3 linked regions of the Kluyveromyces lactis genome follow. The protein of the gene in region 1 interacts with the protein of each later gene in a pairwise test. Links are inferred from orthologs where the notes say so. Each region holds a gene or a part of one and is shown in the gene's direction. Other genes may lie near its edges.

Region 1 (3,764 bases):
ACGAAATATTTTTTTTTTTTCTTTCGAAAAAAACGTCGACTCAAGCCATCATCACAAACTCGTCCCAGAAGCAACGTACGACTCGCATATTTGCTGAATCTGGCAAATCGCATACCGTAATATCATTAGAATTAGCCCCAAGGCAATTCTTAAGCACTCGAGGGAAAAAAAAAAGATAGAAACGAACATTCACACACAGAAACTTACAGCTGAGAGAAAGAAAGGAAACAGTAGAAAAAAAGAAAAAGCAATGATGAAGTAAGCCTGATTAACATGGTGGTGCGAGCGCCAATGCTTTGCATACTTTACCTGCCTCTGTTCCACTGAAAATCCAACAGAGAAGTGTTTGCAGCAGATAACACGAACACAGACATCAGTTTTTTTTTCCCCGGTCAGGGTGAATTCATCGCCTCCCTCCACTTCGTATTATCACCCCTCGAGTTTTTGATTCGTAATAGAAGAAGGCAAGAATCCTGTGATATTTTATCGTTTCTTCCATGATGCAGGTTGTCAGAGAGAAGATTCTATATGCCAGGAGATAAAATAAAGAGCTACTCCACAGACCTACCTGTACAAGTAGACTCAATGGAGACGTTCATACACAAGAGTAATTAGATATAGGGTAGACATAGTACTAAATAGATACAGCATCTTGACATAAAACTGACGGTTTGCCAAAATGTCGACATTACTGAGAGATTCCGCTAAAAACGCCCGCAGATTCCGTTGAAAAAAAAAAAAAAAAAATTAAAAATAACAAATAAACGTTTGCATTGGTTTTGAAGAAACAGAAAAAAAAAAATTGAAATAAATAAATGTTTAGAATTCTACTAACACGATACTTAAGTTTGATTGTCAACATCTTTGTTGTTTTTTTTGGAGAGAAGGACACAAATAGGTAACGAAGATCTGCGAGAATTATTGGTTCTGTATTTTGATAGTAGGTTATAAACCTGGAACGATTGATCGTACTTTAGCTCAGTGATAATAGCGAGAGCCAGGTTATTTTTTAAGTGTGACGTAAAGGGTTTGTATTTTGGTCTACTAAAAGCAAGAAATATTCAGACTTATAGCCTGGGAAATAGCACGAATACACTCTCACACGCTTGTACTATACTATTTTTCTACTTATAATTTTTTTTCTTTGTGTGCAAAATATAAACAGATTGGATATCCAGGTTTGGATTGTATCGAATAGGTAGGAAACGAAACAGAATTGGCGTTTGATATATGCTGAACGCAATTTCAGGTCCAGCAATGGCAGTCTCGTTACAACAACAGCAACAGCAACAACAACAACAGCAACAGCAGCAACAGCAACATGGATTATTGGGACACCAACATCAGCAGGGCATGTTGCAAGGGTTACCACATACCATGAATGGTGCGGTTGCTGCTTCTCAATTAGCAATGCAACAACCAGGCCAAGCGTCAGAATATGGCAATGAACAGGTACCAGGACAAAGTCAGTTGCCGATAGAGGTACGTCCTCAGGATTTGTTGCCGGTTAAACAGCCTTTGAAGCCTCTAGATCCGTTGTCTCAGTCCACAGCAGAGACCTGGCTGTCCATTGCATCTCTGGCAGAGACTTTGGGCGATGCTGATCTGGCTGCAATGGCATATGATGCGACTTTACAACATAACCCATCGTCGACAAACGCATTGACATCGTTAGCTCATCTATATAGGTCTCGTGATATGTTCCAAAGAGCTGCAGAGCTTTACCAAAGAGCTCTTTCTGCGAACCCAGAGCTGGGCGATATATGGGCTACTCTTGGCCATTGTTATCTAATGCTTGATGAATTACAAAACGCATATGCAGCTTATCAACAAGCCCTTTATCATCTATCAAACCCAAACATACCGAAACTATGGCATGGAATAGGTATTCTATACGACCGTTATGGATCTTTGGATTACGCAGAGGAAGCATTTGCCAAGGTTTTGGAACTTGACCCACAATTCGAAAAGGCAAATGAAATTTATTTCAGGTTGGGTATCATTTACAAACATCAGGGGAAATGGAATCAAGCCTTGGAATGCTTCCGTTATATCCTGCCTCAACCTCCTGCTCCGTTACAAGAATGGGATGTCTGGTTCCAATTGGGTAGTGTTTTAGAGTCAATGGGTGAATGGCAGGGAGCTAGGGACGCGTATGAACATATCATATCACAGAACGACCGCCATGCAAAAGTCTTACAACAGCTCGGTTGCCTATACGGTATGAATAATGTATCATTTTATGACCCACAGAAGGCTCTAAATTTACTTCTCAAATCTTTGGAAATCGATTCTACTGATGCTACTTCGTGGTACCATTTGGGTAGAATTCATATGATCAGAAATGATTACACCTCTGCATATGATGCCTTCCAACAAGCCGTTAACCGCGACTCAAGAAACCCAACATTCTGGTGTTCCATAGGTGTATTATACTACCAGATTGCTCAATATCGTGACGCCCTAGACGCTTACACCAGAGCAATCAGATTGAATCCTTATATCAGTGAAGTGTGGTACGATTTAGGTACTCTATATGAAACTTGCAACAATCAGGTCAATGATGCATTGGATGCATACAAACAGGCTGCAAGGTTGGACCCTAACAACGTTCATATTAGGGAAAGGTTAGACGCCCTCACTGCTCAAATAATGAATCAACACCAATCGGGCGAACAGCAACAACAGCAACAACAGCAACAGCAACAACAGCAACAACAGCAACAACAGCAACAGCAACAGCAACAGCAACAGCAGCAACAACAGAAGATTGAATACAATCAGCAGCCTGCTCTTCCTTTACCATCTCAATTACAGCAACCCCAACAACCAAACCAACAGCCACAACAACCAGTGATGTTACAACCAATGCTGCAAAACAACACACAAATGTTCAATCCTCTGAATGACAAGCAACAAAATGGCCAGGAGCAACAATATGCTGTCCAACAGTTCCAACAACAGCAACCTATTCAGCACACTAATATGCCACCGGTTCTTCAAAGAGTTGATCAGCAGCATCCACAAGTTGTGCAGCTACTGCATCAACAGCAACAACAAGACCACGAACATCCACAACAATATCAGCAATCCCTGCAAACTCAACAACAACTACCACCACCACAAACCCAGCAGGTGCAACAAGGACAGCAAGGACAGCAAGGGCAGCAAGGACAGCAAGGATACCAAAATGGACAGGAACAATCGCTTCAAAATACCACACAAGCCTCCCAGGTCACACAAGCTCAACAAATCCCTCCGCCACCCCAAGTGCAACAAACCATTCCTCAAAAGAGACCTTTGGAGGGGGGAATGGATACATTGTTCAACGCTATCTCACAACAAGAGCAGGAGCAACAGAAGCAAAAGGAGGCGGAACAGCAGCAAACGACAGCACCACAAGTCACGACACCCCAAGTTACGAACACCGTACATAGTACACCTTCCGAGCCAAAAGTCGAACCTAATGATAACAACCTTGGCATCGTCAACGATACAAACAGCACCATTGCACCAGCTACGCAAAATGCTGACACAACTACCATCGTACCAGCAGAAGGAAAGCAAGAGTCTGTACAAGTTACTGAGGCTGAGGGACAGCAACCACAAGAATCTCAGGCACCTGCTGGTGAACCTGAAGCACCAACCTCAGAAGCTAACGTTGTTGAAAACACAAGTGCCACCGAGAATCATAATGGAGCAGAACCTGCAGTAGCTAAACCTGAGATAACGGAGCAACACGCCATTGACACTCCTGCTGCAAA
Region 2 (3,355 bases), on another chromosome or scaffold:
GACGGTGGATAGTAGTGACACATGTTTCGGATCTGAGCATATTGGTATGAAAGGTGATCGCTTAGTGTTTAATTTTGCCTGTTCTTTAGATAACTTAGTGGATCCGAGTTCTAACGAGAGGATTTGATTTAAGTGTCTTAGACACTTAGCATTAGGGGTTACAATTTCACTCTGGTCCAAAATGCCCATCAACTTATTTAATAATATGGGTTCGCTTTCAATTTTTCTTTCTTTAACCTGAACAGAATCTTTATCGATCGCAATCTGCTTGGCTTTATTGCCAGTATGTGATAATGACAATTTAATAGCTTGGTCATAATGAACTTTTTGCAATATTTTCAAGGAGTCCCCATCAACAAATGAAATCTTTTGGCCAAAAATATTCCCGCCACTATCATCTTCAAAATTCATGCAACCACCACATACTTCTGAAATTTTATTCAAATCTTCACAAAACTGGTAATACGTCTCACCACATTCGTTATTCTTCCATAGGAAATTTTGCATGAACATGGAATAAATGACATAAATGTCGTGTAAGCTACCATTGATCGGGGATGCAGTGATGGACGCATAGTTGTCCAACATAAAATCAACTAACCCCCAATTCAAAGACATAATACCAGTTTCACTCCTTTCACTGCTCGGACAATTTCTTTCGAGACGCAGCTATATTCAGTTTCGTTTCACCTTGTTACTCCACTCAATAAAAAAACAACCGCCGACGTCAATATCTCTGGCTCCAGACAAGATATAACAAATCCGTATATTTTTTTCGATCACCACAACTTTCACAAACTTTCTGTGCCTACAATGTCATGAAACTATATATAAATTGCCGGCTTTTCCTCTCAGTTCCATCCACGTTTAACAATGGTTCTGTCTTAAAAAGATGGTGTATTTCGTGATGAAGCTGGGATTTTTTATTTTCAAATCCGAGTTTGATCTAGGTAGGAATTCGTTGTGAACAGGGGAATACACAGGCTCCAAACTGGCAGGAAAGTGAAGGGCTTTACCAGTGTATTATACGTGAATCTGCAACGATGCTGATCTCTCTTTAGAATTGTGGGGTACATCCTTCATCTTGATACGTTGTTATCACGTGATTGGTTCATGTGATGTACGGAGTTTATGGTTCTGATCCACTTGGAATAAAAAAACATGGAATTTGAAAATACAGTAATAACAGAACAACACATAAATAAAGTACGGAAAGGTCGAATAGACAATCGACCGAGCCAATACCCAACTCTTTGCAGATTGTAGCTACCAAGTATCAATTCTGGCTGAGTGGCAGTTATTCATTACGGGTAAGTGGTAGCGGAATCCTTTTCATAAGATGTCATCGGATACACTTAAATTTGATGAGAAAACGGAAGCTGAGAAGCCATTGTTTGATTGTGATTTTGGGACTTCCTATAGTCCCAGAGTCTCGTACCACTTCAATTCGAAGGTATCACAATATCATTACGGTGTCAAGCATCCAATGAAACCTTTTAGGCTTATGCTTACCGACCATTTGGTTTCGGCATACGGGTTACACAAAGTGATGGACTTATATGAGACGAGGTCAGCAACAAAGGATGAGTTAACAAAATTTCATTCTGAGGACTATGTCAATTTCTTAGCGAAGGTAACACCAGATACATTGAATAAACTTCCTCGAGGGTCACTCGAGAAATTCAACATTGGTGACGATTGTCCTATCTTCCAAGGAATGTTTGATTATGCTGCCTTATATGCTGGGGCATCGTTAGATGCTTCTAGAAAGCTACTTAATGGTCAGAGTGAAATAGCTATCAATTGGTCTGGTGGTCTACATCATGCGAAAAAGAACAATCCATCTGGTTTCTGTTACGTTAACGATATCGTGTTAGCCATAGTAAATCTACTGCGGTATCACCCGAGAGTGTTATACATCGATATAGATTTGCACCATGGTGACGGTGTACAGGAAGCGTTTTACACTACTGACCGTGTGTTCACTGTTTCATTCCATAAGTATAACGGCGAATTCTTTCCAGGTACAGGTGATTTGGATGAGATAGGTTGCTCCAGAGGTAAGCATTTTGCATTGAACGTTCCGTTACAAGATGGGATCGAAGACGACTCATACATTAATTTATTCAAAAGCATTATTGATCCCGTAATAACATCTTTTCGGCCCAGTGTAATTATTCAGCAATGTGGTGCCGACTCCCTTGGCCACGATAGACTTGGCTGTTTTAACTTAAATATCAAGGCTCATGGTGAATGTGTACGGTTTGTCAAGTCGTTTGGAGTACCAATGCTTGTGGTTGGAGGTGGTGGTTATACACCAAGAAATGTTTCAAGATTGTGGACGTATGAAACAGGATTATTAAATGGGGTATTGCTACAACCTAAACTTCCAGAAGGTATTCCATTTAGAGATTGGTTTGGCCCAGATTATTCATTACATCCAACACTAGATGACTTGTATGAAAACAAAAATTCCAAGAAATTTCTTGAAAATATACGGATTAGATGTTTGGAGAACATCAAATACTTACAGGGTGCCCCAAGTGTTCGTATGGATGCAGAACTCATCCCAACACAGGACATCACTGGCCTAACTGAAGAAGAAGAGGAACTGATAAAAGAGTTAAATGTCGAAGAGGACAAGGCTAGGTTGGCACAAATGGAGAAGGATGACTTTAAAGTGGGCGAACTATACTAAAATATCACGTGCGGAAATCTGATATATTTGTTTTTTTTTCTTTCTTTTGGTTACGCTTTGTAAATAGATATCCTATATGGAGTTGTTAGAATACTACTAAATTAACACTATTAAGGTAAAATTATGAGCACGAAGAAAGTGCCTTCGAGGTTAAATAAATACATTATTACCAATTAATATTAAGATCGTATACTTCATTATGCTTACATGGTATGGGTTTTTATTTAACTTGTCTATATGTGTTAAGAAATTTTCTGAAGATATCCTTTAGTAAATAGAATATCTTTAAATTGCTGTGAATATTAAATAATAATGGCGGATGGAGGTACAAAAGGTATTGTTTTGAAGTACCATCATAATTTTGTAAATTGTCGAAAACTTTTGAGAATAGTCTTCATCAAACGAAGAGTACTTTTTTGTCAGTCTACTGGGATTTTGAAATCAAACAAAAAAAGCGTCTCCTTAAACACCAGCTTCGAAGTCCTTTTGAGCCATGAAAATGGATAAATCAACCACTCTTGAAGAGTAACCATATTCATTATCATACCAAGAAAGGACCTTGAAAAAATGGTCGTTCAATTCAATACCGGCCTTGGCATCAACAATAGATGAACGTGAATCGGATGTGAAGTCAGAGGACACAACGGCGTCTTTGGT
Region 3 (3,167 bases), on another chromosome or scaffold:
AGATAGATTCTCAGACTCTATCGGAGCTCCTAAAATTCCTAACGTGACTTGGGATGATATTGGTGGGATGGATGTGGTCAAAGGAGAAATCATGGATACCATAGATATGCCACTCAAGCACCCTGAACTATTTTCATCTGGTATGAAAAAGAGAAGTGGTATTCTTTTCTATGGACCTCCTGGGACTGGTAAAACCTTGTTAGCGAAGGCAATTGCGTCTAACTTCTCTTTAAATTTTTTCAGTGTTAAAGGGCCTGAACTTCTTAACATGTACATTGGTGAATCCGAGGCAAATGTTAGACGTGTCTTCCAGAAAGCAAGAGATGCTAAGCCATGTGTCATTTTTTTCGATGAACTTGATTCCGTGGCACCAAAGAGAGGAAATCAGGGAGATTCTGGGGGTGTTATGGATCGTATTGTGTCTCAACTTTTGGCAGAACTAGACGGAATGAGTTCAGGAGGAGACGGAGTGTTCGTAATTGGAGCTACGAATAGGCCAGATCTTCTTGATGAAGCATTATTACGTCCCGGTAGGTTTGACAAGATGTTATATTTGGGGATATCAGATACCGATAAAAAACAGGCAAATATCATCAAGGCTTTGACGAGAAAGTTCACACTAGAATCTGGTATCGATATACTAGATATTGCCAAAAAATGTCCGTTCAACTATACAGGTGCAGATTTCTACGCATTGTGTTCTGATGCCCTTTTAAACGCTATGACTAGAGTTGCTGGTGAAGTTGATGAAAAGTGGGAGAAGTATAACATGGAAAATAAAAAGAATATATCATTGAGGTATTGGTTTGATAACGTGGCAAACGAGAATGACTTGAAGGTCGTGGTAAAATTACAAGACTTCGAGCTTGCTCAACAGAATCTAATACCAAGTGTTTCTGAGGATGAATTAAGACATTACTTGAGATTAAAGAGTAGTTTCGAATCTCAATGATCGTTAATAAGTAATCATATCGAATATTATTATAAATCATATATAACAAATATATTAACTCATCCATGCAGGATGATCTGGTCAGTAAAAAGTTGGTCTACTTCTTAATCTTCTTCAACTCGTGTAACATGACAGATCTCTTTAAGGCTTTTCTTCTTTCTTTAGCTGCTTGGAAATTCTATATTGATGGAGACGGTGAAAAATGAAGGTAGTGATTTCTATTAAAACCTTGATTTATGTCGAAAACATACCAAGAAAGCTATATAAACAAGAGGTGAAAAATTTGTACCGGCTCTCCAACTTAGCGAAACTATTAAGATTAATTGTGCGTGGACGGTATGGTATACGAAGCTAAACCTTTTGACCCGATAACGGTGAAGGCTAACGAGAAGAAGCGAGTTGCATACTTTTATGATGCTGATGTGGGAAACTATGCTTATGGTGCAGGACATCCTATGAAACCACATAGAATAAGAATGACACATTCGTTGATTATGAATTACGGTTTGTATAAGAAGATGGAAATTTACAGGGCTAAACCTGCAACGAAACAGGAGATGTGTCAGTTCCATACCGATGAATATATTGATTTCTTGTCTCGAGTCACTCCAGATAATTTAGATATGTTCCAAAAGGAGAGTGTGAAATTCAACGTTGGAGACGATTGTCCTGTGTTTGATGGTTTGTACGAGTACTGTAGTATATCTGGAGGTGGTTCTATGGAGGGTGCAGCCAGATTAAACCGAGGCAAATGTGATGTTGCCATTAACTATGCTGGTGGTTTACATCATGCCAAAAAATCGGAAGCTTCAGGGTTCTGTTACTTGAACGATATAGTGCTAGGTATCATCGAGTTGTTAAGGTACCATCCTCGTGTTCTTTATATTGATATTGATGTGCATCACGGTGATGGTGTAGAAGAAGCTTTTTATACTACGGATCGAGTTATGACATGTTCTTTCCATAAATATGGGGAATTCTTCCCAGGTACTGGTGAATTGAGAGATACTGGTGTCGGGAAAGGTAAATACTATGCTGTGAATGTCCCATTAAGGGACGGTATTGACGATGCCACTTACAAATCGGTATTTGAACCAGTCATAGGTAAAATTATGGAATGGTACCAACCTTCTGCCGTGGTACTCCAATGCGGTGGTGACTCTTTATCCGGCGATCGTTTAGGTTGTTTCAACCTTTCAATGAAGGGTCACGCAAACTGTGTCAACTACATGAAATCGTTCGGTGTTCCTCTCATGATTGTTGGTGGTGGTGGTTATACAATGCGAAACGTGGCTCGTACATGGGCTTTCGAAACGGGTATTCTGAATAATGTGATTTTGGATGAAGAACTTCCTTACAACGATTACTACGAATATTATGGCCCTGATTACAAATTGGATGTCAGACCATCTAATATGTATAACGTCAATACACCGGAGTATTTGGATAAAGTGCTACTTAATATTTTCAGCAATCTAGAGCATACTAAATATGCCCCAAGCGTTCAACTCAATCACGTTCCTCGCGATGCGGAGGACAAAGGTGACGCCGAAGAAGATACTGCAGCTGCGAAGGACACTAGAGGAGGTTCTCAGTATGCAAGAGACATAACCATTGAGAATGCAACCGAATTTTAGCCAGAAAACAAAAACAGATGATCTTTTATTATTTACTGTATTATAATATATTTACACTTAGAAGTACTCTTCCGCATTTGCTACAGGTTTTATCGTCACTCACCTAATCACTGTTATATGTCATTCATCCGACGGTTAATATGATGCTGAATATACAGATTGGTGCCCAAGTTAGAATTGATCTAATGAGGTCAATTTTCTATCGTGTTTTCCCTCCGTCAGTATCGGTATTTGCCATAATTTTCCACGTAATACTATTCCAGTTCAGATATGACTTACATCTGCACTTCGGTTGTCAGTAACAAATCTATATATGAAAAAGATCAAAAAATGAAAATCCAGAAGCGAATGGATATTTAAAAGTTAAGATCAGATAGGTCGATTACACAAGAATAAAGCTTATCCTATTTCATATAGAGATATATATTATCTGATAGTAGATACGTTGTATCTAAACATTCAAATCACAGTTAGTAAATTTTGCAATGGCTGTTAAAGGTTTGGGTCAATTGGATCAAGTTTATGATGGTTCTAACTTGAGAATTGGTATCGTTTACGCTCGTTGGAACAGAACAATT

What was found.
Region 2: the proteins of CYC8 (region 1) and HOS2 interact in binary tests that used the Saccharomyces cerevisiae proteins (3 or more experiments, as listed by UniProt). The link is inferred for Kluyveromyces lactis from reciprocal best matches to the Saccharomyces cerevisiae genes CYC8 and HOS2.
Region 3: the proteins of CYC8 (region 1) and RPD3 interact in binary tests that used the Saccharomyces cerevisiae proteins (3 or more experiments, as listed by UniProt). The link is inferred for Kluyveromyces lactis from reciprocal best matches to the Saccharomyces cerevisiae genes CYC8 and RPD3.

The regions. Positions count from the first base shown.
Region 1 is NC_006038.1:813,073-816,836, forward strand, and holds the start of CYC8 (transcription regulator CYC8), read left to right. Parts: upstream 1-1,230; coding exon 1,231-3,764. UniProt on the Saccharomyces cerevisiae protein: Acts as a component of the CYC8-TUP1 corepressor complex which is involved in the repression of many genes in a wide variety of physiological processes including heme-regulated and catabolite repressed genes.
Region 2 is NC_006042.1:847,128-850,482, forward strand, and holds HOS2 (histone deacetylase HOS2), read left to right. Parts: upstream 1-1,339; coding exon 1,340-2,698; downstream 2,699-3,355. Other genes in the region: IME4 (mRNA (N6-adenosine)-methyltransferase), read right to left, coding at 1-618; KLLA0_F09141g (type I glyceraldehyde-3-phosphate dehydrogenase), read right to left, coding at 3,161-3,355.
Region 3 is NC_006041.1:185,599-188,765, reverse strand, and holds RPD3 (histone deacetylase RPD3), read left to right. Parts: upstream 1-1,290; coding exon 1,291-2,589; downstream 2,590-3,167. Other genes in the region: PEX6 (AAA family ATPase peroxin 6), read left to right, coding at 1-952; lumazine synthase RIB4, read left to right, coding at 3,075-3,167. UniProt on the Saccharomyces cerevisiae protein: Catalytic component of the RPD3 histone deacetylase (HDAC) complexes RPD3C(L) and RPD3C(S) responsible for the deacetylation of lysine residues on the N-terminal part of the core histones (H2A, H2B, H3 and H4).